Oryctolagus cuniculus: one gene and its partners. The protein of the gene in region 6 interacts with the protein of the main gene of each other region in a pairwise test. Links are inferred from orthologs where the notes say so. Each region holds a gene or a part of one and is shown on either strand. Other genes may lie near its edges.

Evidence for each region.
Region 1: the proteins of CEP70 (region 6) and LAMTOR5 interact in binary tests that used the Homo sapiens proteins (3 or more experiments, as listed by UniProt). The two-hybrid records come from large-scale screens. The link is inferred for Oryctolagus cuniculus from reciprocal best matches to the Homo sapiens genes CEP70 and LAMTOR5.
Region 2: the proteins of CEP70 (region 6) and ATP5PO interact in binary tests that used the Homo sapiens proteins (3 or more experiments, as listed by UniProt). The two-hybrid records come from large-scale screens. The link is inferred for Oryctolagus cuniculus from reciprocal best matches to the Homo sapiens genes CEP70 and ATP5PO.
Region 3: the proteins of CEP70 (region 6) and DDX6 interact in a two-hybrid assay, tested with the Homo sapiens proteins (2 studies listed by BioGRID and IntAct). The two-hybrid records come from large-scale screens. The link is inferred for Oryctolagus cuniculus from reciprocal best matches to the Homo sapiens genes CEP70 and DDX6.
Region 4: the proteins of CEP70 (region 6) and SUV39H2 interact in a two-hybrid assay, tested with the Homo sapiens proteins (2 studies listed by BioGRID and IntAct). The link is inferred for Oryctolagus cuniculus from reciprocal best matches to the Homo sapiens genes CEP70 and SUV39H2.
Region 5: the proteins of CEP70 (region 6) and NKAPD1 interact in binary tests that used the Homo sapiens proteins (3 or more experiments, as listed by UniProt). The two-hybrid records come from large-scale screens. The link is inferred for Oryctolagus cuniculus from reciprocal best matches to the Homo sapiens genes CEP70 and NKAPD1.
Region 7: the proteins of CEP70 (region 6) and ZNF366 interact in binary tests that used the Homo sapiens proteins (3 or more experiments, as listed by UniProt). The link is inferred for Oryctolagus cuniculus from reciprocal best matches to the Homo sapiens genes CEP70 and ZNF366.

Annotation. Positions count from the first base shown.
Region 1 is NC_091438.1:59,944,330-59,948,582, forward strand, and holds the start of LAMTOR5 (ragulator complex protein LAMTOR5), read left to right. Parts: upstream 1-1,453; 5' UTR 1,454-1,550; coding exon 1,551-1,585; exon of another isoform or gene 1,586-2,330; coding exon 2,331-2,392; exon of another isoform or gene 2,393-4,253. UniProt on the Homo sapiens protein: As part of the Ragulator complex it is involved in amino acid sensing and activation of mTORC1, a signaling complex promoting cell growth in response to growth factors, energy levels, and amino acids.
Region 2 is NC_091435.1:11,119,937-11,124,106, forward strand, and holds the start of ATP5PO (ATP synthase subunit O, mitochondrial), read left to right. Parts: upstream 1-1,370; coding exon 1,371-1,406; intron 1,407-2,458; coding exon 2,459-2,509; intron 2,510-3,256; coding exon 3,257-3,367; intron 3,368-4,170. UniProt on the Homo sapiens protein: Subunit OSCP, of the mitochondrial membrane ATP synthase complex (F(1)F(0) ATP synthase or Complex V) that produces ATP from ADP in the presence of a proton gradient across the membrane which is generated by electron transport complexes of the respiratory chain.
Region 3 is NC_091432.1:111,506,235-111,509,734, reverse strand, and holds part of DDX6 (probable ATP-dependent RNA helicase DDX6), read right to left. Parts: intron 3,476-3,500; coding exon 3,374-3,475; intron 2,216-3,373; coding exon 2,040-2,215; 3' UTR 2,033-2,039; intron 490-2,032; 3' UTR 1-489.
Region 4 is NC_091444.1:41,010,219-41,012,940, reverse strand, and holds the end of SUV39H2 (histone-lysine N-methyltransferase SUV39H2), read left to right. Parts: exon of another isoform or gene 1-162; coding exon 163-292; exon of another isoform or gene 293-1,116; coding exon 1,117-1,223; 3' UTR 1,224-2,222; downstream 2,223-2,722. UniProt on the Homo sapiens protein: Histone methyltransferase that specifically trimethylates 'Lys-9' of histone H3 using monomethylated H3 'Lys-9' as substrate.
Region 5 is NC_091432.1:104,026,853-104,030,352, forward strand, and holds part of NKAPD1 (uncharacterized protein NKAPD1), read left to right. Parts: intron 1-73; coding exon 74-174; intron 175-1,399; coding exon 1,400-1,579; intron 1,580-3,171; coding exon 3,172-3,321; intron 3,322-3,500.
Region 6 is NC_091435.1:143,204,905-143,208,404, forward strand, and holds part of CEP70 (centrosomal protein of 70 kDa), read left to right. Parts: intron 1-306; coding exon 307-420; intron 421-3,500.
Region 7 is NC_091445.1:38,467,995-38,472,017, reverse strand, and holds the start of ZNF366 (zinc finger protein 366), read right to left. Parts: upstream 2,801-4,023; 5' UTR 2,129-2,800; intron 748-2,128; exon of another isoform or gene 1-747. UniProt on the Homo sapiens protein: Has transcriptional repression activity. Acts as a corepressor of ESR1; the function seems to involve CTBP1 and histone deacetylases.

The DNA of each region.
Region 1 (4,253 bases), on a different chromosome or scaffold from region 6:
CCAGGCTGAAAGCGCCCTGAGCTGGCCATAGTCAGCAGGGAGCCCGGGTAACAGCTGCAGGTGAGAGGGCTCAAGCACGCTTCCGGTAAGGCGAGGCTTAGCAGAACTGGCAGGACACACAGGTGCGCTCCTGTTTTCACCAAAGTGCTACCATCTGAGTGCACGCTGGCACTACCTCTGTGCCAGCAATTCACGTCCATCAAGTCTTAAAAACAACCATATCCTTTGGCCCGGTAATTCCACTTCTAGTAGCTTACCAGGAAAATTTTAAACTGCACAGAGATTTAGCCAAGAGGATATTCACCCAGCAAGCTAGTATCCAAACTGTACATTAACATGGAGTTGGTCAAGTCAGTTAAAGCACATACGGCTGAGACATGGAATATTTTGCAATTAATAAAAACTAAGTATTTATTTTTAAATATTTTATTTATTTGAAAGAGCTGCAGAGAGAGGTAGAGACAGGGAGAGAGGTCTTCCATCCGCTGGTTCACTCCCCAGATGACTGCAATGGCGGAGCTGTGCCGATCCAAAGTCAGCAGCTTCCTCCGGGTCTCTCTCGCCAGTGCAGGGGCCCAAGGACTTGGGCCATCTTCTACTGCTTTCCCAGGCCATAGCAGAGAGCTGGATCGGAAGTGGAGCAGCTGGGGCTCAAACCGGCGCCCATATAGGATGCTGGTGCTTCAGGCCAAGCCTTTAACCCACTGTGCCACAGCACCGGCCTCAAAACTAAGTATTTATTAACACGAACAGACATTTATGCTAAAACCTGTGCAAAGGCTCAGCAAAGGAATCATGTCCAATATTTTTTTTTTTTGCTTAGAAAAGAACAAAAGCCATTTAGAGCATACCTCTGCAAATACATCCACCTGAAAGGGACTGCAGTCACTTCTGGCAGTGGAAGTGTGGGAAGTGTGGCTGGTTTCCTTCCTTTATTTTTAATCTTGGCTTTGACAGCTTGTAAAGCTGTTTTCAGGGAGTGTCACCCCAGTCCTCCTTATGCGTTAGGTATCACACGGCACCTTCTGGCCCCAAACCTTCCTGAGCCCTGATCACAGGAAAAGCAGTGTCTTAGTTAAAATTCCAACACGTTTTGCCAGCGCCCCGCTCCGGGTTTTACCCGCGGGCCACCTCGTCCTTTGTCCCGGGTGTACGCCCTTCAAGGAGCCCGTGGCTCCTCTGGCCACTTGCTCCATCCCGCCGGGCCCGCAGGGTTACTGTCAAACACCATCCTGTCCTTGGGTCTCGGAGTCGTTTGCACTGAGACCAACGGACAAGAACCATTGGGCCAGACTGCAGGCCAGGAACTGAGGCGCTGGGGCCTGGCTGCAGACTCTCACCCCGCGCAGCCCGAACCCTCAGGGAGACGGGAGCACGGCTCGGCGCCGTCTTCCGGGAGAGAACTCGGACGTGGCGCCGCGGCGAATTTTGTCCCATCGGCGGCGCCGTCGCGGGCAGCGGAAGGCTCGCGTCACGTGACGGAGGCCCGCAGTGAAGCGGAACGCGACGGCTCCGGGGGCCCGGGCGGGGGTGCGCTGCCGGCCGGCGGGATGGAGGCGACCTTGGAGCAGCACCTGGAGGACACGTGAGCAGTGCGGGCCTCTCCGGCCAGTTCTGAGGTCGCAGCGCGGGTTACGTGCGGGACAGCGGGCGAGACCCGCGAGCGCCGGAGGGCGGCTCGGGGACGCCGTGCCACCCCAGAAGGCTGGCCGAGGGGACGGGGCCGGTGGCCCGAAGTTAATATCCCGCTGGGGCCCGCAGCCTTCCTCTCGGGGCGCCGTCCGCAGGATTAGGTCGTTCAGGAGGGTGTCGCAGGTGTGCCGTCGGCCGCACCGGGTACACACACACACAGATCGTGTGTGCGATCTGTCATTTGGTGTTTAAGGAAATACCTGTTCCTTAAATGTGTTAACGTCTGTGTAAACTCAAAGCTGCAAAAGTCTAAGGTGTACGTGCAGACACCACCCTCCCAGCCACTCCCTCGTCATCCCACTTCCCTTCCGGGAGGCAACGCCTCTTAGTTTGTCCAGTTGTCTTACCTGAGCTGTTACGTAAAGCGTGCGGTTAGAACGGCGAAAAACCCCGCATCCGAACTGTTGCGTGCGCCTAGGCTTCCCAAACCCAGCAGATACTCATTCTTCTCTGCAGCTGGCTTCAATTACTACTTTAATTTTGCTCGGGGTTGGGGAGTGTGGTAGGAAAGAGGTCGAGAAACCCATTTAAAGCACTTAGGCAATGCCTGATAGCATGGCAGGCCCACGGGCGTCATAACCGTTTGCATCCACTTTCTCAAGCCCTCTGCCTCACCTCTCCTGTGTTTCTGGAATTAGGATGAAGAACCCGTCCATTGTTGGAGTCCTGTGCACAGACTCACAAGGCCTCAATCTGGGCTGTAAGTATCTCCTGCCAACCCTTTGCTGGACTGCGCCACACCTGGTGTTGACCAAATAGTATTTGAGTCATTTCAAACTGGGCCTAGACAGGACTCGCCCATGAGAGCTGTGAGCATGTGCTGAGCCATATGCGAGGCTCCACCTGCCTTGCTGCACTTTCCACAGTATCCCTGCATGATGGGTGGGTGCAGTGTTCTAGTCCAAGTACACCAACAGTGAAAATAGGAGATTCTGAGTTTGGCACAGCTGAGTTCAAACACTCCCCCCACCCCCACCCCGTTCTTTCATTTGCTAGTTGTGTGAACTTGGGCCTAAATGAACCTTTCAGGAACTTTTTTTTTTTTTTAATATTTATTTATTTATTTGAAAGAATTAGAGAGAGGGAGAGACAGAGAGATCTTGCATCCTCTGAGTCATTCCCCAGATGGCTATAATGTCCAGGGCTGGGCCAGGCCAAAGCCAGAATCATCCAGGTCTCCCACAAGAGTGGCAGGGACCCAAACACTTGGGCGATCTACTGCTTTCCCCAGACCTTTAGCAGGGAGCTGCATCAGAAATGGAGCAGAAGGACACAAACCGCTGCCAATATGGGATGCCGGCATCAGAGATGTGTCATGGCACCGGCCTCCATGGCATAGCTTCACTGGGCTCTTGTTTACTGAGACTAGTGCTTACAGAATTGCGTGCTCTTCCTTGAGTTCCAGGTACCATTCTAATGGTAACTCACGCACTCCTCCTAACAACCAACGTGAGGCACAGAGGTAAAGTAGCTTGCCTAGGGTCATAGGGCGGTAATTGGCTGAGCTAGAAATGGTGTCAGGGTCCAAAGCCTCTTCAATCACAATGCCGTGAGATTATATAATATGCTTAAGACAGTGCACACCCAGATGGAACATGCTCAGAGAATGACAGCAATCACAGATGAGGAAATGATAGATAAGGAAAATGATAGATAACTAGAGCATTTAGTTAATGTCAGAACTAGTAAACCCAGGACACGTCTTAGTGCAAGAATTTTTAAAGCTCTGAATTTTTGCTGCAAGGGTAACAAAGCGGTAATCTATAACTCAGTTGCTTGGAGAAAAAAGGCAAATGTTTTGACGCTTTTGCCAGACTCACTAATGGAAATACTGAAATGAAGTGTGAAACTCTATTAGAGTTGCTTCAAGAAAGCTTCAAGGTGCAAAAGATGGCGCCGTGCTGGTGAGTTGCTGTCAGGAAATCCCTCTGCCCACCAGCCACAGGCACGGTTCTGCTTGGCCTGCCTTCATACACACATACAGGACACAGTAAACTCAGCAGTTACATTTTGTGCTTGGGACCCAAGGTTCCGTTATCATATACAAGCTAAAGCAGTCAGGAGTAGAAGACAATCGTGTGGGCATTTGAAAACAGCCAAGTAGCTATGCTAGCAGAAATAACTGCTCACAGAATGTTCACACGTGCCATCGAGGAGATCTGAGACTGCGTGACTCCTCAGGAGAGGAAATCCGCTTTCCCATGAGGAATGAATTAGCTTCAGCAAGCCTCTTGCGCGTATTGACTGCTTTTTGTCAATCTCACCTCTAAGCTTTTTGTTTTCGCAAGGTTCCTATCCAGTGAATTTATGGTTTTCAGAGTGACCTGAATTACAGCGTCCTGGTATGTTGAAGCTGTTTACAGATGGTGATAGGTGTGTCAGTTATAGCTTACTGATTTATTGATTTTTGTTGCCCGGCTTTCTCACTGATGTAACCACTGAGCGTCAGGGAACAGTCACTTCATGTAAGCACCAAACTTAAAGGACCAGGACCTGAACCTCCTCTTTGTGAATCATTCAGTGAGATACTGTTGCTCCAAACTTACTTGTGGCTCACCAGG
Region 2 (4,170 bases), about 130 Mb from region 6:
GGACACACCTGCAGATGAATTCCCAATCTTTTTCAGAGCGACCCTGTTTTCCAAGCGTTTTTGGCCTCAGCACTTTGGATTCGCAGTATAGCTCCAAAAACCCACACAGGTGCTGCCGTTCAATTTCACGGAGAATACCAGGCCTACGAAGACAAGCCCTTTGTCATACCCTGCTCTGTCTTCAAGGCATGGTACAGCTTCTGACACACAGGACCCATGCTCCACAAAGCGTGTTAAATGAATAGACTTTCCATTAGATGTATATGGAAGAGGCTGGCGCTGTGGAGGAGCAGGTAAAGCCGCCATTTGTAGCATCAGCATCCCATATGGCCGTTGGCTGGAGTCCCGGTTGCTCCACTTCCGGTGCAGCTCCCTGCTATGGCCTGGGAGAGCAGTAGAAGATGGCCCAAGTTCCTGGTCCTCTGCACCCACGTGGGAGATCTGGAAGAAGCTCCTGGTTCCTGGCTTTGGCCTGGCCCAGCCCTGGCTGTTGCAGCCACCTAGGGAGTGAACCAGTGGATGGAAGATGTCTCGCCCTCTGTCTCTGTCTCTGTCTCTCTCTCCTCCTGTAATTCTGACTTTCAAATAAATAAAATCAATCTTTTTAAAAATTTAAATTAAATTAAATATGTATTTGGAAATATGATTTGCATTGTGCAGGGGAACAAGGATTTTCAGACACTACTAGCGAGCGAAAAGCATGACTTGGTTTAACCCTGTGGAAAGGACTTGGCCTCACGCATCGGAAGCCAAGTACTTGGACTATCTCACCAGGCTGTGCCGGTTCTGGGGACTATTTGGAATTTATCTTAATTTTTTTTTAATGAATGTATAAAGACGCTTCCAGGAGGGGCCATGGCAGTTCCCAACGGCTCCAGCGGGCGGGGGAGAGCCGCGGCGGCAGCCCCGCAGCCCGGCTTCGCTAGGCTGTCGGTACCCGGCACGCACCCGCCCTGCTTCCAAGGACACCTCTGCCGAAGGCGCCACGAAGGAAGCGCCCAAGAGGAGGTCGGCGATGCTGTCGGCTAAACCTGTTCCCGCAAAAGGGAAAACGAAGCTCCAGAAGGCAGCTGGAGGGATGAGTAGTCGGACATAAAGGTATCTGTGAAATGCGACAAACGCCATCGTTTTTACCCCGGGGACCAGAACTCAAGGATTCCTTTCGCAGGTGCAGCCTCCCCCTGGGAGGTCACCCCTACTGCATCGTCTAAGGACTACAACTCCCAGCTTGAAGGAGGTGGCTACGCACGCGCTGTGGCGACCTACGCCTACACTTCCCAGAGAGCCTAGCGGGTACGCTGACGCGCGCGTGCGCCCTCGCGCCCCTTCCTCTTCCAGCTCGGATTTGACCTACAGCTGCCCGGGAGAAGATGGCGGCCCCCGCAGTGTGCGGGCTCACCCGGCAGGTGAGAGAAGCTAGCTGGGAGGACGCCCTCCTTGGGGAAACTTGTACCAGAGCCTGCGCGCTAGGGTTCGAGGCCACCGCTGGGAAACCAAGGCCGCCGTTCAAGGTCGTGGGGCCTGGCGAGTGAGGGCGGCCCGGCTCGCGTCCCCCGGGACGCCTGTGGGGTGCCCGGCGCGGTGCTGGGCGCGCGGTCATCTCGGCGTCCTCAGGGCACAGCCCGGGAAACCCCTGGCGCCAGGGGCCACCGGCCAGCCCCGGGCTTCGCCGCCTGGGCTGTTCCATAAACCGTCGGGGGTCGCTGGTGACTTCAGGCGGATTTCCCAGGTTTATAAAGGACATGAGAAGTTCAAATGGGGCGTCCTGGGCTGCTTGGGTAGTGAGTGATGGGGTTAAGACCCGAACCCCAGTGTCACCGAGAAAGTGGCGTTGGGAAAAATAAATCAAATAGCCGCGCTTCCGTCTCACCGCGATGCTTTGCGCACTTGACCCCGCTGTAGTTTCCATGATTTCCCCATAAGCCCGAAAACCCTGCCCTTAGAGCCGGTTTTAACACAGTGCGTTCTGGAGCTCAGAGCCCTGGAGGGCGGTCCGTGCCTTTGCGGGTGCGTGGATTATGGCCCTTGAGAGCCGCAAGGGCATCGCTGGGGACTTGAACTTGTGCGGTCACGCTCCCGCGCCCTAACCACTAGACAGCAGGTGGATTCCTGACAGCCCATCTGTTACAGCTCCTTACGGATTCCTCCCCCTTGTGTTAAAATCCCGCTCAGAAATGTTAGATGTTAACTTCCTGGAAGGTAGCGTTTTCTCCTTGGTACTGGGCGCTTGCCTCGGCCGGTTCCTGGCAAACTAGGAGATTACTGGGAAAGCGATTTTCCAAACAACGTGGCGTGATTCTCGGTGAGAACATGGACTCCTGGCTAATAAAGACAGCTCACCCGCGTGGAGTCTATGTCAAAAAACATCGTTTAAAAGGCAGCCTTAGGTCGCGATTGAATGAATTACAGAGATTCTCGAAGACATTTCTTTTGACCTGTTTCCATTCTTGCTTTGAAGGTGCGAAGCTTCAGTACATCTGTGGTCCGGCCGTTTGCCAAGCTCGTGAGGGTAGGTCCTTTATACACACGCCTGTGTGGGGGAGGGGCCTGTGGGAGGGTGTGCATGCTCTAGCCCTACAGTCAGGCCGTGGCCTGTGGTGTCGCTTCTACGTAAACCTTTGCATGTTGTTGCGATTCACAAGACACACGTGCGCAGGGTGGGGACGGTGATGGTGGAGGGTGCTTGCCCTGTGACAGACGCCAGCGGAACCTTTAAGTGGGTGAGAAGTGACTGTCACATCCCTGCCGTCGTCCAAGCACCAGATCGCCCAGAGCCACCCTCCACGTGAGAAGTTCTCACCGCCCCTCTGCGGCGCTGGAGCATGGCAGGCCTTGCCGTTGTGTGAAAGGGGAAACTGAGGCTCCAGGAGACGGTGCTTTGCTCGGCCTCACTATTGCCTGGGCTTTCCCCTGTGCAGCCACGCAGCACCACGCGGCACGTGCAGTCGTACATTGACTGTGGCGTGTAGGGAAAAGGCCGCAGTCCCCTGGGGAAGATGGTGCAAGCGTGGGCTCTGTGGCGTTGAACGCTGGGGCGTGGGGGCCGGGAGCGGAGCCCCAGCAGCGCCGCCGCAGGGAGGAAGGGGTGCCTGCGGGCGCTTCCTAAACGTTTGCCTGGTCAGGCCAAGGAAACACCCAGACCCCTAATCGGTGTGAGGGTTTGTTCTTAGGACAGCCCTCTGATGACTGTCCGTGCCGTGTTGTCTGTACGAAGCACGGTTCACCGATCTCCCTCGGCTTCCCTCTCCCTCTCAAGCCGCCGGTGCAGGTGTACGGCGTGGAAGGCCGCTATGCCACCGCCCTCTACTCGGCCGCCTCCAAGCAGAACAAACTGGAGCAGGTGGAGAAGGAGCTGCTGAGAGTAGCGGTAAGCGCCTCCCCTCACTGCGCGTGCGCGGTGGCCCTGCGCGCTTCTCTGCTGTGGCGCCTTAGCTGTGCGTCCTGACAAGACAGCTTCTGGGAGAGGAGTCACAGAATAATAATTCTCTTACGCATGCTGTTAGCGATAGTGTTGGCTTGTCTTCTGAAACTTCTATAACAGGAACAAGCAGATACACACACGGAGAGTAATGCAGGGAACCTGGCTTTGGGCTGAGACGAGATAGAAATATCACTTCAAATGTAAGGTGATGATTTAAGAAAAAGTGCCATTTCAGGAAAGGATTTAAAAGGTTGCCTTCAAGAATCCGAGCTTGCTATCCAGCAGTTTCTACAACAGTGTTTAAAATGCCTGTTGGTTTTGTCTGAGAGTTTGTTTTCCTTATGAAGCCGTTTCCTGGGTTTTAATTAGTAGGTTGTTCCCAAGACGAGAGGGGAGGATGGCAGCCGCGCCTCCTGGGCAGCAAAAGGAGGGAAGGTGGTGGGCGCCTTGCCGACGGAACCGCAGGGCAGCCCCTGGGCGGGCCGGTGCCGTGCTGGGTAGCATGAAGACTACGTAAGGTGCGTTAGCAGAACGCTGCAGTGCAGCTGAGACGGGAGCAGCCCTGCTCGCTTTGCCCCGACGTCCCAAGTTCCCGCCCCTTCCGCTGTGTCCCCTCGGTGTACTTTCTCCTCGCCCCTCCCCTCTGCCAGGAAGGGAGGGGTGGGAGGCACAGTCCCATGGGTAGCCTGTGCCGTGTGACTGTGTGTTTTCAGAACACCTTGCATTTTTAATCCATGTACTTAGAAAAC
Region 3 (3,500 bases), on a different chromosome or scaffold from region 6:
TGATATTCTGAATGGTCTCATAGCATAAGGCACTTCGCACAAATAAGTAATAAGCTCTTCAGGCTTAAAAAACGGATGAGTAATCAGGGAGAAGTTGAAATGCACGAGAGTCAGCTGTTGGAGAAATTTGAAATCGTAGACAAGCTTGTGTGTTCATTGAGATTCTTCTCTTTTTAGGGTTTCTCCCCTTCTCTTCTTTCTCCTCCTTCCTTGTCCCCTTTCCCCAGAAAACATTTTTTTTAAAACCAGCAGTTAGTGCAACTAATGTTCAGTCAGCACACAGTGCAAACAAGTGGAACAAAAAAGGTATATCCCTTCTTTTCAGCTTTTTTTCTCTTCGCCAGTTAAAAAAAGAAAAAAATGTCTGAGATCTTTTATGTCTTCATAGTTCCAAAATAAAAGAAGATGAAAAACCCACAAAGAGAAGAGCATCCCCCCAAAAAATGATGTGTCACAGATCCAAACGAGCCTTCTGTGGTTTGTCAAAGCCTATAAAGAGGGAAAAACTAAAATCAACATTTGGGCAATCAGCACACAGCAGGATACACAGGTTTTCACAATCCTCAGCTCTACCAGTTTCTACTGAAGCCTTTACCTGTAGAATCCACTGGTTACAACTAAGGCATTTTTGTCCCGAGAAAGAATGGGAGGCTGAATGTTCATTTACAACAATTGAATCAAAGGGAAAAAACTTATTTTACATAAACTGAAATAGTCCGCCAAAGTACTAAGCAAACATTGGCTAGTTTAGCTAATGGTTTTGTGTTTGTTTATTATAATTTGCAAACTACCTTGTCAAATTAAATGAGATTTTCTTTAGGAAATATACTATTCAGTTTTTAAATTTTGAGCCTTGTTTTTTTTACATGTTTCTAATCATAGCCCAATAAATAAACAAATTTTTAAAGAAAAGATGAACGGAGAGAGTGTGCAAAAATCAAAGTGGACATTTTAAAAAGGCAGTCATCCCTCATAACCTGATTACAAATTTGGTAGTAAGGACTACAAGCATTTTTAACTGATTTTTTAATACATACATTAGAAATTCAGAGTGTTAAAAGCAGAGGGATGACTTTGAAAAAGGAAAAAAGATGAGTGAAAAATATTCAAAATGGCTGAGAAAGATTCTTTTTTGCTTTCATTATTTTGGGAGTCTAAAATTGTCATAAGTATTGGTTCACCTATCACATTATTCAGAGGCCTGCATTGCAGGACACCATTTATAGATTCTCTAATGAGAATATAACCTCACCCAAGAGATATTTGCTATTTATTGTAATTTATGCCAACAGTGTTTCACCCTGTATTGCCATTATACATGGTGCGGTATCAAATTCCTCCTGGAAGGGAACTGCGTCAGCTAAAGATGGCCAAGCCTGGGGTTGGTGTCAGATTAAACTGCAGTTCTGAAGTCAACGTCCCCTATGAGACGATCATGCCGTTTAGACCCTCAGCTGCTCTGCTTCTGAGTTAGCTTCCTGCCACTGCAGCTGGAAAGGCATTGGCAAGTGGCTCAAGTACTTGGGATTACTCCCTTGTATTACAGGGAGACCACGATGGAGTTTCTGGGTTTAGTCTGACCTAGACCTGGCTATTGCAGCCATTTGGGAGGTGAACCAGCAGACAGGAACATTTGTCTCTCCCTCTCCCACTGTCACGCTGCCTTTCAAATAAATAAATCTTAATGGGGGAAAAACACCAGATGGATGTGCATGAGCAAGTGGAGCACATGTCTGCTTGCTGCTGACTCACCAATGGCAGGGACCCCACTGTTGACAGCACACGCTTAAGTTTTCCTTTGAGTACAGGAGATCTGAATTGTGTGGACTGGTTAGTCTTGTTTTTGGTGGTCTGTACCTTGTTTTCCTGGCTGTATCTGTGAATGATAGCCTAGCTGCTGGGTAAGAATTCTGCTGTCAGAAAACATCTTAATTTGCTGAGCTGGAATTTTAAAGCCTATCTTTGGTATCTCCCTTTGCTGCAGACTCTGATGGCAGCACACTTCCCCTCTGAGGTTCTGTCAGGTACTCACATGCTTGTTAAGGTTTCTCGTCTTCTACAGGCTCGCTGTGGTATTCTGCCACATATAGGCTCTTGTCAATGTTGCTTGGGATAGGTTTAATTTCTGTTCCCAGCTGCTCCTCAATACTTTTCAGATTGAAACGATCATCATATGTGATCAAATTGATGGCTAAGCCAAGATGACCAAAGCGACCTAACCAAAAAAAAAAAAAAAAAAAAAAAAAAAGTTTAAATTCATTTTTTTTCTCTCAACAAAGTTCTTTTTACTGCATCTGTCCAGTGTTTACATATCACCTCTCAAGGTCTGACCAGTTCTCAACAACAAATGTACATACATGTGTGTCTCTGTGTGTATACACCAATGCACAGGAAAGGCCAACAGGAGCCTAATGCCTCTTTCAAACACTGGGGGAACTAGCAGAAAAAGGCAAGGCTCCCTAATGTCCACTGTTACATTTCTGTTCTGAATAAATTCATTTTTAAAAACTAAGTATAAAAATTAATGTGTATATGTGCCAGTCTATAATGTGGAAAGAAAAAAAAAAAAACCCAAAACCATACAAGACTAATTTATGTTCAGTGCCATTCTGAATATGATACTTCTTATGGGTCTTATCAAATACATATTATGCTAAAACTTCAGATTTCACACTCCAAAGCAGAAGAGTGAGACCTTTACAATACCTATGTATTCAACCAAACACAGAACAAAAATATTTGGGGAAAAAATATTTTGTGTGTACTGACTATGTACAGACCTTTCCTGGTCATTATTCCTTAAACAATACAGTGGAGGGAATATATTTATAAGTATTTTACACTAGTTTAGGTATTATAAGCTAGAGGTGATTCAAAGCATATGGGAGGATATAGATAGGTTCATACAAATACTATGCCATTTTATGTTAAGACTTCAACACATACAGATTTTGAATCCACAGGGGGTCCTTGAAAACCACCCTCCATAGATACTGAAGGATGGTTACACTGTATTTTACCTTTTCAAGTAAAAAAGTAGCTGCCCATTTGAGTCAGAAGATACAGAATACAGTACAGATTATTAATGAGAAAAGAAATGTTCTCATGTGTTAATTTTATCTTAAATTAGGTATAGGGTAATTATACTTTTCTTAATATTCTAAAAATAGGAGAACTTAATTATTCTTAAACATCAAACAACTGAATTACTATTAATTCACTATTCTCATAAGTAACACACTCTACAAAGGGTGCTCAAAAAGTCTGTGGGAAAAGGCCCATTATAACACCATTTTTCCATTAAGGAACAAAATGTTCTTAGTAAATCTCAAAACATAATTTCCAGCAAGAATACTCCCTCCCTTCTTCTCACCTGATCTTCCAATACGATGAAGATAGGTCTCTGCTAGCTTTGGAAAGTCAAAGTTTATTACCACATTCACAGCTTGTATATCAATACCTCGGGTAAAAAGATCTTAAAAAAAAAAAGAGAGAGAGAG
Region 4 (2,722 bases), on a different chromosome or scaffold from region 6:
GTTATTTTTAAATGTGCATGCCTTAAAGACCTCTAAATTATAAGTAACTTTATTTCCAGTAGAAACTTAAATAATACTCTGGGAAATTAAATATTTTATGTGGCACATAAAAGAGCTCATTCATGTATTTTTACTTAAATCGGTTCTAATATTCCTTTTTAGTGTGACCCAAATCTTCAGGTGTTCAATGTTTTCATTGATAACCTTGATACTCGTCTTCCACGAATAGCATTATTTTCTACAAGAACCATAAATGCTGGTGAAGAGCTCACTTTTGATTATCAAATGAAAGGTATGATTTTCAAATAAACTTTTATTGGTATTAGTTTCAATATGAAGGATCAAATCAGAATAGAAGACCTTAGATCATCTGAAAGAGACTAATGACGAAATATTAAAGATTAAAAAAAAGGCTATAGGAGCTGGTTCTCCTTAAGAGCCAGCATTAATCTGACGGCTAAGCTGGAACTTAGATCTGCGTGAAATTGCTTGGGCTTTGGAAGGGTCAGTCTTCTATATAATATTTACCTTCTGACTTTTTGCAAAACTTCCATTCAAGAAGCTGATTTATTATAACATCTTTTCTCAATATAATTTTAAGCCTATATTTGTAAAATCTTTACTAATTCATTACTAACATGTATTCTTAATGTAAATTAAATCACATGCAAACTTACTCCATTCCTGTTTGAATCTTTTAAGAATATTTAAGTCTGTTTGCTCTATTTTGATATTTTCCTTCGTTTTTCTAAGAATGATGCTTTTTATAGTTAATTATTTGACCTCGCTTTATGTGCTCTTAAATGAAATCAGTGAATTATATATGGAATTTTCCCGGTTAAAGTTTCATCATTTCAGAAATTCAGTCTCACAAATGCGGGCTAATAAGAGTCTATCTATTATTGGCCTACACCATCCTTTTAAAGGCAATTTATAATGACTTGTTTGTATTCATTTATCTAAAAATACAAAGGGAACTTAAATTTCCTTGGGAGTTAACTTATTCTGTTAATCTTAAGTATGTAGTCATCCTTGTTAACTACTTTAATAGGAAAGTTGAAATTCATTCTGAATTGTCTTAACTCTTTTTCTCCTGTATTTCTTCTATGTATTCAGGTTCTGGAGATATATCTTCAGATTCTATTGATCACAGCCCAGCCAAAAAGAGAGTCAGAACTGTATGCAAATGTGGAGCTGCAACTTGCAGAGGTTACCTCAACTGAATTTTTGGAAAATATAGCTGGTGATAATTATAGTTTTGTCTTTCTCAAATGCTATCATTTTTAAAACATACATTTGGGACTTTCTTCATAGTATTACAGTTGTACCTATTTTAATTCACAATCTATGTTTCAAGACATTTGCCAAATGCATTATTGATCTTTCTGAAGAGAGGGACCCAGGGTCACATGGAGTAATGATAAGTATCCATACTTAATGGCTAGATACCCCACATGGCAGACAAACTGTTTTCAGGTCGGCATATGCATACTAAGTCTGTGTAAATAGAGAAATGCCTCAACTATTTGGAAAGTGTTAAACTGATAATGTGACAGTTGCCGAAATCACATTCAACCTGCCATACACCTTAAATTCACAGAGTTAATTCAGTTTGAGTAAATATACATGTTCTATTTTTGTTACTATATTGTCATTCCTGTTTAATATTCACTGTACTTGTATTTGAAATAGATGATGCTGAATTTTATACTTTTCTACTTTTTCATTAAAACATTGGCATCTTAATGATATAGAAATGTAAGATAAATTAAATGTAAAAAATTAATTCAGCTTGATTTCATATTTTGAAGCAGTTTATCGCATTATGAGGGGAATATATCTTAACCTGTAATTCTTCAGGATTTTTTAGTATTTATAAGAAAAATCTCCAAAAATCCCTCTCTGAAAAGTCTAGAATGGCTGGCAATTTTGCTTTGATGAAATGACAGGACAGTAGGATCAGGAGAATTTTTTAGAGTGCCAGGCAGCAGAAATGGAGCACTTTAAAGGCACTTCTGAGTTGCTTAAATTAGAAGATCCGTGTTAAGTACCTCTGGTCTAAAGAGTAAAACAAGATACCTGGGGTGCCTTGGTACCTAATAATGTAACATACATTAACCTGATGTCCTTTCAATTTCAGGCTGTTTTAACATTCCTTTCCACCAAATTTATTTTTATATTTCCTGAAGGCTTTTCTTAAAAAGTAAACTATTTTGAACTGATACTTGTTTTATATATGAATTTTTTAGATGTGATAAACTTGGCCAAAGTATGTGTCTGAATTATGAGACTTTTTATTAGTTAATGTTCTATAAATACCTAAATGGGATATATTTGGGTTTTTGGTTTGATTTTTTTTTTTTTTTCCTGGCATAGTGAAACCTCAGTAAGGAAAAACTGCTTTCATCTCTTTCTGATTCTGGGATTTCTAAAGATGATGTCCAACATGAAGATAATTGTAGCAAATATATCTAGCTTTCAGTATTCCTGATTAACTTCACCCTAAAGCTAATTGCTTTAGGCTTTCATGACCTAAAGTAAGCATGGGTTTTAGTAAAATTGAACTTCAAGAATGCAGCACTTCAAATACCTTCTTGAAAACTCAGTGTAGTTAAAGGAGAAGCTATACTTTATTATTGATTATATAGTCATCACATAAGAGTTCTTTCATACTGTAGACATGTTTGGGGTCTAAGAGTGTACCTAATATCCACAATTTTCA
Region 5 (3,500 bases), on a different chromosome or scaffold from region 6:
TTTCAATTACTTTTCTGTAATGTGAATTCAAGTTTTAATAGTTTATTTTGTTTCTTTTTTTTTTTTAATCTAGATTCAGGAGGAATCAGATATGTGGAAAATAAGAGAACTAGAGAAACAGATGGAAGATGCTTACCAGGGGACCAAAAGGAGAATGTTGCCCAGCAGTTCAAGGTGAAGTTGCAGCTCTGAGAACCAAAATAAAGCTCATCTTTTTCAGGATTGTCCACTTTTTAAAAAAAACATTTTGGTATATTAAGGATAGATGAATTCTGTTCTGTGAGTCCTTAAGCCTTCCTGGTTTCATTCATTTAGACCCAAACAAAAAGAGATAATGACTACGATATATATGACTCCAATCATTGTACTTGATCTGCAGTGGAGAATTTAAAAATTCTGACTTGAACAGGTGAAAATGTCCAGAGTTCTGTGTATTCTGATTTTGCCTAACAGCTTATAACTTAAAATTTTGTTAGACTCTTACAGTCACTTAACTGATGAGTCATTCCTTTTTTCTAAGAAATTAGTCTTTCATTCTTTCAGCTTTTTCTTTACTCCATGGACTTACTGCCAGGTTTACAGCCTTTTACATATCCTTAATAATTTTGAATGTGAATGTGAAATATCATGCAGGCTTGGCCATCTCTTACTGTGGAGGTACAGGAATTTTCATGTAATTGGAAATATCTCTTGGCCCTCCTCTGCCTTTAAATGTAGGAAAGTAGATGTATCAAGTAATGAGTACCAAGTAATAATCCTGATTTCTAAAGCCATCCAAGGAAATAATTGGTTAATAGTGAGATATTTAAGGAGCGTATGTTTGTCTGCAGGATGTATAGATTTAATATATCATTGGCTGTGTGAATGGCTTCAGACCCGTATTTAGGGTATACATAAACAAAGCAGTCTCAACATAAATACCTTTCAAGTATTTTTTCTTTCTTTCATTTCATCTACTTGAAAGGCAAAGCAACTGCAAGGCAAGGGGGGATGGCGGGTAGGAGAGAGAGAGAATCTTCCATTTGCTCATTTACCTCTTTAATGCCCTCAACAGCCAGGTCTGGGCTGGGCTGAAGCCAGGAGCCTGGAACTCCATCCAGGTCTCCCATGTGGGTGGCAGGGGCTCAAGCACTTGAGCCACCATCTGCTGCTTTCCAGGTTGCATTAATACAGGAAGCTGGATTGGAAGTAGAGTAGCATGACTTGAACTGCCACTCCAGTAATGGAATGCAGGCATTCCAAGCAGCACCTTAATCCACTGTGCCACAATGCCCACCCTATTTTTCTTTTTGAAGGTGGTCCTTTGAGAATTTAGAAGTACTACAGATGATTTATTTTGTATTGGTTATTTAAGTGACATTTTCAGAAACAAAATGATTGCTTTTTTGTTTTTTTAAAGATTTATTTGTTTGAAAGGCAGAGTGAAAGGAGAAAAAGAGATCTTCGATCTGCCAGTTCACTCCCTGTATGGCCACAATAACCTGGCCCAAGCCAAAGCCAGGAGCCAGGAACTCCATCTGGGTCTCCCATGTGGATATCAGGGACCCAAGTACTTGGGCCATCTTCCACTGTTTCCCAGGTATATTAGCAGGGAGCTGGATTGGAAATGGTGCAGCCGAGACTTGAACCAGCACTCACACGGGATGCTGGTGTTGCAGGCGGCAGCTTAATCCACTGTGCCACAATACTGGCTCAGTGACTGCTCTTCTAGAGTGGACTCTTATTAATGTCTTTCATGGTGAATACATAATTTTAGTAATTGTTTCTTTATTTGACAAATAAAAAGTAAATAAATCTTTAAAACATAAGACAGTCTCTTTAGGGGCAGGGATTTTGAGCATCTCATTAGCTATTACATTTGTATTAGAACAGTGCCCAGAATATAGGAGGCCTTTAAACATTTTGGTAACTGATTAACTGACTTACTGTCAGGTTAGTAGACTGGTAAGGCCTTGTTCCCATTTCAGTGACCTCGCTACTGTTAGTTGCTGGTTTGTTGGAAAGGGAGGTGTATTTCAGAATCTCTAGGGTAGTTTGCGGTGTTCCCAGTGGTGACTGTGCTGTTTCCCTCCTTGTATTCTCTTCCAGTTGAGAACCAGTGAGTGAGTCACAGTATGACATAATCCAGAACTGATTTCATCTGTACCCTACATTAGGATGAGTAGTAGCGGTCCGATTTTTTTCCATTGGACTTTACAAATGTATAGACAGGAAGAAATAATGTCTGTTACAAGTTGTTGGTTTGTTTTTGTTTTTTTTTTTTTTTTTTTTTTTTTTACAGGCAGAGTGGACAGTGAGAGAGAGAGACACAGAGAAAAAGGTCTTCCTTTGCCGCTGGTTCACCCTCCAATGGCCGCCGCTGCAGCCGGCGCACCGCGCTGATCCTGGCAGGAGCCAGGAGCCAGGTGCTTTTCCTGGTCTCCCATGGGGTGCAGGGCCCAAGCACCTGGGCCATCCTCCACTGCACTCCCTGGCCATAGCAGAGAGCTGGCCTGGAAGAGGGGCAACCGGGACAGAATCCGGCGCCCCAACCGGGACTAGAACCCGGTGTGCCGGCGCCGCAAGGTGGAGGATTAGCCTATTGAGCCACGGCGCCGGCTCTGTTTTTTTTAATAGTAAGTATCAGGTTATTTTGTTCTCACCTCAGCTTGTTCTTTGAATTTTTTTTTAATATTTATTTATATAAATAAATGGAAGATGGAAGACCTCTTTCTTTCTCTCTCTCCCTGTGTAACTCTTGACTTTCAAATAAATGAATAAATCTTAAAAAAAAAAAAAAAGAGTTACACAGAGAGAGCAGGAGAGGCAGAGAGAAAGAGAGAGGTCTTCCATCCGCTGGTTCACTCCCCAATTAGCCACAACAGTTGGAGCTGTGCCAATCTGAAGCCAGGTGCCAAGAGTTTCTTCCGGTCTCCCATGTGGGTGCAGAGGCCCAAGCACTTGGGCCATCTTCTACTGCTTTCCCAGGCCATCATAGAGAGCTAGATCGGAAGTGGAACAGCTGGGATTTGAACTAGCACCCATAAGGGATGCCGGCACTGTTAAGGGTTTTGTGTATGCCACAGCACCGGCCCCTGTTCTATGGGTTTTGTGTATGATGTTCTTTAAAGTTCCCTCACAAATTGCTTTCAAATCTAAATCTAAATCTAAACATTCTGCTTTCTCTTATAGCCGGATGCGTAGTGATGGCTTTGATGAAGAAAGTCAAAGAGATTATTGGAAGCCAAAGAATGAAATTTCTGGGACACTGGAAGATGATTTTCTTAAGGCTAAATCCTGGAACAAGAAGTTATATGATTATGAAGCTAACATGCCAGACAGGTTTGTAACTAAATTCCTGTGACCACGAATGATATTTGCCTTGAAAACGTGTACTTGTCAAAAATTAAATTGTCGGGCCCGGTGCTGTTGTGCAGCGGGTTTACGCCCTGGCCTAAAGTGCTGGCATCTCATATGGGCATTGGTTCTAGTCCCAGCTGCTCCTCTTCCCATCTCTGCTA
Region 6 (3,500 bases):
TTAGGTTTGAGGGAAGTAGCTACTTCTAAAAGGTAACAGTTTTTAGTTTCATGTGCTTTTCATGTTATCTAGTTAAAACAAATAGTTCTTGCTCTCATATGTGTGGAGGTGTATATGTGTCTAAAACCCCAGAATGTTTTATTCCAGAGAAGACCATTATAGGATAGCATTTATTCAAATGATTCTTCCATCAACGGTCTAGGAAGTCATAAAGTTTTGACGCAGGAGTGGCCTAATTTGCCCTGCAAGAGTAGTGTGTTCTTTTAAGTATGATTTCTCTTAACTCATTTCACTTTTGTTCATTAGGCAACTCAGATTTTTTTATTGCCAATCTCCACTTCTGATTCCACAATGTCTCCAGCATCCCCTAAAGCCCAGCAGTCCAGTCAGTTATCAGACAAACTCATGGCTGAAAAGCAGGTAAGCTTAAAGTAGTCTAAGCTGGTGTTTCTTACTATGTACTGAAGAATGTTGTGTACAAATGAAAAATTTGACTTTGAAAAAATTCTTCAAGTAATTGGTCAAATAATTTTTGGGAAATGCCAGATTCAAGACTGTTATATGGTTTTGTTACTCCAATATGAGATGCAAGTATTGCAAGTGGTGGCTTAACCTTCTGTACCACAATGCTGGCCCCATCTTACAGTCTTAAAGTTGCTTGTTTATGGTGGTCTGACACCTCTGAGTAACATGTTGGAAGATAAGCCTTTCTTGATGTTCTCTGAGAAACAAGCTCAAGAGAGCATATACCTACAAACTGCTTCAGATTCTCTGCTCCTGTTCCCAGTGCCCCCTTTTTGCTTAAGTCCTACATTCTTGGTTATAATTTCAAAATTGATCCTTGTATTTACAATAAAAATGGATCATGAGGCTCTCAGTTCTTCACTGTGATGCCTGCCTGGTCTGTCAGGTGTACTCTCTCCATTAAACTTTGCTAGAATGCTTATTGGTAAAAAAAAATCATAAAACTATGAATGTTTTATTTAAATGTTTTTTTTTTTTTTTTAAATACTGACTTACTTATTTGAAAGGCTGAATAACAGAGAGGTAGAGAGAGCGATCTTCCATCTGCTGGTTCACTCCCCAAATGGCTGCATGGCCAGGTCAAAGCCAGGAGCCAGGGTGTTCATCTGGGCCTCCCACATGGGTGCAGGAGCCCAAGCACATGGACCATCCTCTACTGCTTTCCCAGGTGCATTAGTAGGGAGCTGGATCAGAAGTAAAGAAGCCAGGACTTGAATTGGTGCCTACATGGGATGCTGACACCGCAGGTGGTGGCTTTCCCTGTTACACCACAGCCCTGGCCCCCTAAGGGTATTTTAAAAATAATTTTTTTAAGATTATATTTATTTGAAAGGCGGAGTTACAGAGAGTATTCTGTCTGCTGGTTCACTCCCTAAATGGCTACAACAGCTAGTTGTGCTAGTCCAAAGCCAGGAGCTTCTTCTGGGTCTCCCATGTGGATGCAGGGGCCCAAGTACTTGGGCCATCCTCCACTGCTTTCCCAGGCACATCAACAGGGAGCTGGATTGGAAGTGGAGCAGCTGGGATTCAAATCTGTGCCTATGTGGTGTTGCAGGGCAGCCTTTAGCCACTATGCACAATGCCAACAATTTTTTTTAAAGATTTATTTATTTGACAGGCAGAGTGACAGAGAGTGCTCTTCTATCTGTTGGTTCATTCCCCAGATGACTGCAACAGTCAGGGCTGGTCTAGGCTGAAGCCAGGAATTGGGTCTCCATCCTGGTCTCCCACATGGATGACAGGGGCTCAAATACGTGGGCCATCCTCCATTGCCTTCCCAGGTGCATTAGCAGGGGGCTAACCTGTAAGCAGAGCAGCCAGGACTCAAGTTGGTACTTCTTTGTGGGATGTCAGGATTGCAAGTAATAGCTTAACCTGCTGGCCCCCTATTATTTTCTTATTACTTTTTTTTGTTTCTTATTTCTTTGCATTGTTTTTAATTTGCTTTGTCTAGAGAGTTAGAGTCCCCTTCTCAAATTTAGAATGTAATTACATATTTAGAATTAGGGACACAAGATTTAAGAGTATCTTTCAGGGTGATTCTGTGAGAATAGAAATAGATGTTAGACCTTATCCATTATACAAGAAACTATTTAAAATGGTTTGTACCAGGCCAGTGGTGTGGTGCAGTCAGTTAAACCACTGCCTGTGAGTCTGGATCTATCAGAGTACTTGTTCAAGTCCCAGCTGTCATCGCGCTTCTCGGCCTTTTGGATAAGATCAAGTGTAGTATCAAGTCCCAGCTGCCCCACTTCCAATTAGCTGCCTGCTAATGTGCCTGAGAAGGCAGCAGAAGACACCCCAAGTACTTGGACCCCTACTACCCTCATTGGAGACCAAGATGGAGTTCCTGGCTCCTGGCTTCAGTCTGACCTAGCCCTGACCATTGTCACGGCCATTTGGGGAATGAACCAGCTGATGGAAGATCTCTTCCCACGCCCCCCCACCCCAGTAACTCTACCTTTCAAATAAATAAATCTTAAAAAATAAAGTTATTGGGGCTGGCACTGTGGCATAGAGGGTAAATAAAACTTCTGTATGCAATGCAAGTATCCCATATTGGCGCTGGTTTGGGTCCTGGCTGCTCCACTTCTGGTCCAGCTCTCTGCTATGGCCTGGGAAAGTGGTACAAGATGGCCCAACTCCTTGGGCCCCTGCACCTGTGTGGGATACCTGGAAGAAGCTCCTGGCTTCAGATTGGCACAGCTCCAGCTATTGTGGCCATCTAAGGAGTGAACCAGCAGATAGAAGACCTCTTTTTCTCTGCCTCTCCTTCTCTCTTTGTAACTTTCACTTAAATAAATCTTCAAAAAAAGTTATTGACGCCAACTAGTCAGATTTTTCCTGTGACCATGATGCTTGTTTCTGAGTAATTCAACTATTAAATTATTTATAGCCGACACCGTGGCTCACTAGGCTAATCCTCCGCCTAGCGGCGCCGGCACACCGGGTTCTAGTCCGGTTGGGGTGCCGGATTCTGTCCCGGTTGCCCCTCTTCCAGGCCAGCTCTCTGCTGTGTCCCGGGAGTGCAGTGGAGGATGGCCCAGGTGCTTGGGCCCTGCACCCCATGGGAGACCAGGAAAAGCACCTGGCTCCTGGCTTCGGATCAGCGCAGTGTGCTGGCTGTAGCACGCCGGCCGCAGCGGCCATTGGAGGGTGAACCAACGGCAAAGGAAGACCTTTCTCTCTGTCTCTCTCACTGTCCACTCTGCCTGTAAAAAAAAAAAATTATTTTTAATATATTTTATAATTTTATATAATTATAAATTTTATATAAATATAAAATGCATAAATATATGCAAATATAAGTATATATAAATATATAATATGTACTATATATTATAAATATATATAAATACAAAATGTGAATTTTATATAATTTATTAATTTATATAATTTATATAAATATACAATGTGAATTTTTATATGATTTATTAATATAAAGTAGTTTGTAGTTTTTCTGAGCAGGGCTTTGC
Region 7 (4,023 bases), on a different chromosome or scaffold from region 6:
ATAGGATTTATAACGTATACCACGAATGCGTAATTTAGCTAGGTGCGTGGCTGGAGCAGAAATTAACTATTGAAAACTTGCAATGGGTCAAATTCTGGATCATTCCAAACTGGAATTCCCCTAATGAAATCACAACAGAACCTCTGATGACCCCAAAGACAAATCACACTCTGGAAGTTTCCACGAATGCCAAGTCACTCCTTGGAGTTCAGTAAAGATAGTGAGTGGTTGCAAGTAGTCTAACTCATCAACGGCCTTTTTTGCTTCAGGAAATTAGTTGATTTTTTCCCTCCTCCGGGTATCAAACAAATATTCTCATGCTCGTGACTCAACAATCTAAATGAAACGGTGAGTATGTAATTTTTCTTTGAAAGAGAATAGCATATCCCAGCCCCTTCGCGGGCTGCCCCCTTGAAGACGCCTGCCAGAAGTGGTGTTTTCTCAGCTACCGGCCTCTGCACTTGCAACCTGACTAGCACAGAGGAACCATACTTCTATTTGTCTCCTTTGTGTTGCCTCTGATGCTTTTCTTCAATGGCCCAAACTGGAGAGTGTTCTGTGATGTTGCTTTAACTGGACAGAACATTAAGTTCATGATCAAGGAGAAATGAAACTGAAAGGAGCGCGTCGGGATGGCAGCCCGCTTCTCCCCTGGCATATCAATTGCTGATAAAGGATGCGAATCGCCCCGATGATCTATCCCAGCTACCTGCGGACGTGAACATCCCTGACAACGGGGCGACTGGGGTAAGTGGTGGGGCACCTAGACACCATGCTCAACACTTACTGGAATCGTTTTCCATCGCTAAGAAAGCAAAGGGCAGTCACCGCTCTTACGTCGCCTGTTTTACAGTGCTCCTAAGGGGAGACCCACGAATAAAGGAGAAGAAAAAGAGAGCTGAGACTCTTGGAACGAAGCCTGCCCAAAGGCCCAGTCCTCTGATATTTCCTCATCCTCATCAAGCTCATGGCTCAGTCTTGCACAGAGTAATCATTTGATTTTGGTTAAAGCAGAGTCTGGCCAAATTAATCTTAAAATGAGAGTCCAGTTATTTTTGTCAAGCTCTTCACATTCTAGGTGATTTCAATGAGGAAGTTTCATAAAAATGAATATTTTAAGAAATATGCAAGGTCATTGCCATTCACCCATTTGGTAGCTTTGCAGTGAACTTGTTAACATTAGTAAACACTCACTGTCTTTGACAGTGACCTTGCTGACCTACTTTTGACAACGCGATCTTGGCTCCCTCGTGGCTTACTATGATGAGTTCTTGGTAACAGCATCCTTTCTCACGAATTGAATTGAAGCAAGTTAGACCTTCAGAAAGTGTCAGTTTAACTAGCTTGCTGGTCCCATAGTTGGCTTTGACACACCGGGCAGAGAGTGAACATTTCCCAGTTGTGTCTATGGCTTAAGTCTCTCACTCCTAGTGACACAAGTGACTATCTTCACCTGCCCATTCTGGTTGCACGCTGTTTTTCAAAGCCACAGCTCTGTACCCCTCAATCGTTACCTTCATTTGTGTGGCAAATGCCATCTTCCACTGACAGTGAATAAATCTGCACTAAACCCACATGTAGAACCAGATCACACAAGCCCCCACGATTCCTTCTGTTTTTCCTTCCTACACTTCAGTGATGCAGAACAACAGTCAACAATTAACTGTCCTCTTTTGGGGGTGGAGCGCTGAATGGAAAGAAGAGAACAAGAGACAGGCACCTCCATCCAGCCAAGGTGCAACAAACACCCCAACGCAAGCCACAAATCTTAGCAGACGCCCAGATAAGGTTTCGAGGACACAGCACGCAAGAAGAATGAAATTCTCCAGTGGGACACATCCCGCCCTCCCAGGGCTCCTGGATAAGCCAGCCACCTTGTCCATGCCCAAATTCAGATTTCACACAGGGGTCTCCTTCCTTGGCCCCATGGCAAGTCTCTTTGCAGTTCTGCCAGTCTCAGCTCTGCAAAGCATCGGGATTCTCTCCCACCAAAAACAGAAGCATACATTCTGGGCCATCCCTCAGCGATGCCCCAGGGAGGGCTTTTCGGTTGAAGATGCCCCCAGCAACCTCCAGCCCAGGGACACAGAAATGATTGCCCGGGGGGCGGGGGTGGGGGGGAACTTACCAGCTCCTGAGGATTCAATGGCTCCAGCGGCCTGATTGCTGGCTGTGTTTGTCTCTCTCCCTCTCTCTCTCTCTCCCTGTTTCTCTCGTGTACAGATTGCAGGGAACGTAAAGAACTAGCAGGGACAGTGTTTCAAATGACTTAAGAAAGAGAACAGGAACAATACTTCGTTCTCTTTTTCTCAGATGAGTACCTTCGGGAAGAAGGAAGGAAGGGAGGGGAGAGGGAGGAAGTCAACAACCCTTTGCTTTCCTGAAAAAAAATAAGGAAACAGAAGATAGACATCTCATTTTCTCTTAAACAAAATGTTGGAAGGGGCAAAAAATAAAATCTTTGAAAAAAAAAAAAAAGGAATTCCTCAAATTTGCTCTCTGCCCTGGGAGTTTTTGAAAGAGTTGAAAATGCCTTAGTGGCCAGTGCTGTCCGAACAACGGGTGCTCAGAAAAGGCAGGTCTCCCGGGCTTGCAGAACTCATACAGGCCAAAAGGGAACAAACCGTGTCATGTCGACTCTGAGCTAGGCGAGGTCTGCTCTGCCCTGCTCACGGGGGCAGGCGTGCAGCCTGCGAGACCAGGCGTCGCAGCCACTCAGCCAGGGCTTCTGGCTTTCCTAGGCCCTTTGAAACATTAGCATGGCTGCGAGCTGCTCAGCTGACATTAGACCCTTGGCGCTCCTGCAGGATCGAGTAGCAGATTTCTCACCGAGCTCCATGCCATGGACCCCAGCCAGCGTCCATCTTGGCTGTTGGAGGAAAAGCAAAGGAAGCCCCCTCCCCTGCTGCTGCCCGGCCCGGTTATCTCTGAATTGCTGCGGAGTTCATCCTGCCTTTATGTCCCTGCCGCTTCTGGGACTTGGTCGCCTCTGGAAAATTGCAAGGCGATTTCTAATGCGTCCTCAAAGAACTGCAAAAGAGCATGGGTCTTAGCTAAATCAACCACCGTGTGGGGGAAATGATGGGGAGGCTGTGTAGAAGGAGCCAAGAAACTTCTTGACCAGGGAGGGAACCTGGGGACCCCGGGGGGATGCCTGAGCTGCCTGCCAGCCAGGGCTCGTGGCAACTCAGGAGTAAGCTTGTCTTGGGTCCTCATTCATCGCTTAAGACGATTTTCACCACAAGCAGGAACCGGGAGCTCTGTGGACCTTTGTGGCAGTGAAAGAAAAACCAGCCTGAAGTTACTTCCTCAATTCACCCAATTGTGAGCGAAAACCGGGCTGGAGGGTACGCACCTGATTGCAGACAGCAACTGAAAGTGAGTTCAGGGAAGACATGAGCCACTCCAGCAACTGTGTAAGCTTTGTATTGGGTACTAGAGTGTAGAAAGTTGATTTTTTATTATTATTTTAACAGCTCTCTTCCCCATTATCTATCTAACCACGGACCTTCCTACCTGCCTGAATGGGCGTGCGTGTATCAGGCAGACTTGAAGCTATCATTACGCAGTAAGTATGCAGGAGCCAGAACAGAGCCCTGTCCCGGCCGTCGCCATGGCACCAACCCGGGCACGAGGCACAGCACTGGCCCAGGCATGGGTGACTCACCTCATCAGCCGGTGACAACACCCCCGACCAGGGACACTATCCCTGCAGCTTGCCCAAAGCCGCTGGCCTCCGTGGCCAGAACCCAAACGTCCCTGTCTCCTGCGCCCAGCGCCAGCGCCCTCGGCCCCCTGCTGGCCTTCCTCTGCATCCTGCCTTTGTGGACTGGGAAGGAAAAGGAGCAAGAACATCTAAGAGGACTAAGAGGACGAGGCTGAGCCTGAGCCAGTGGGGCCGCGCGGGAGGACGCACTGGAGGCTCCCAAGGGCGCACCCTTGCGGAGCGCCAGGTTTCCGGACGCACGATGAGAAGGGGTGACGGGGAGGGGGCATCGCCCCCAGGCTGCAGCCCCCCAGACC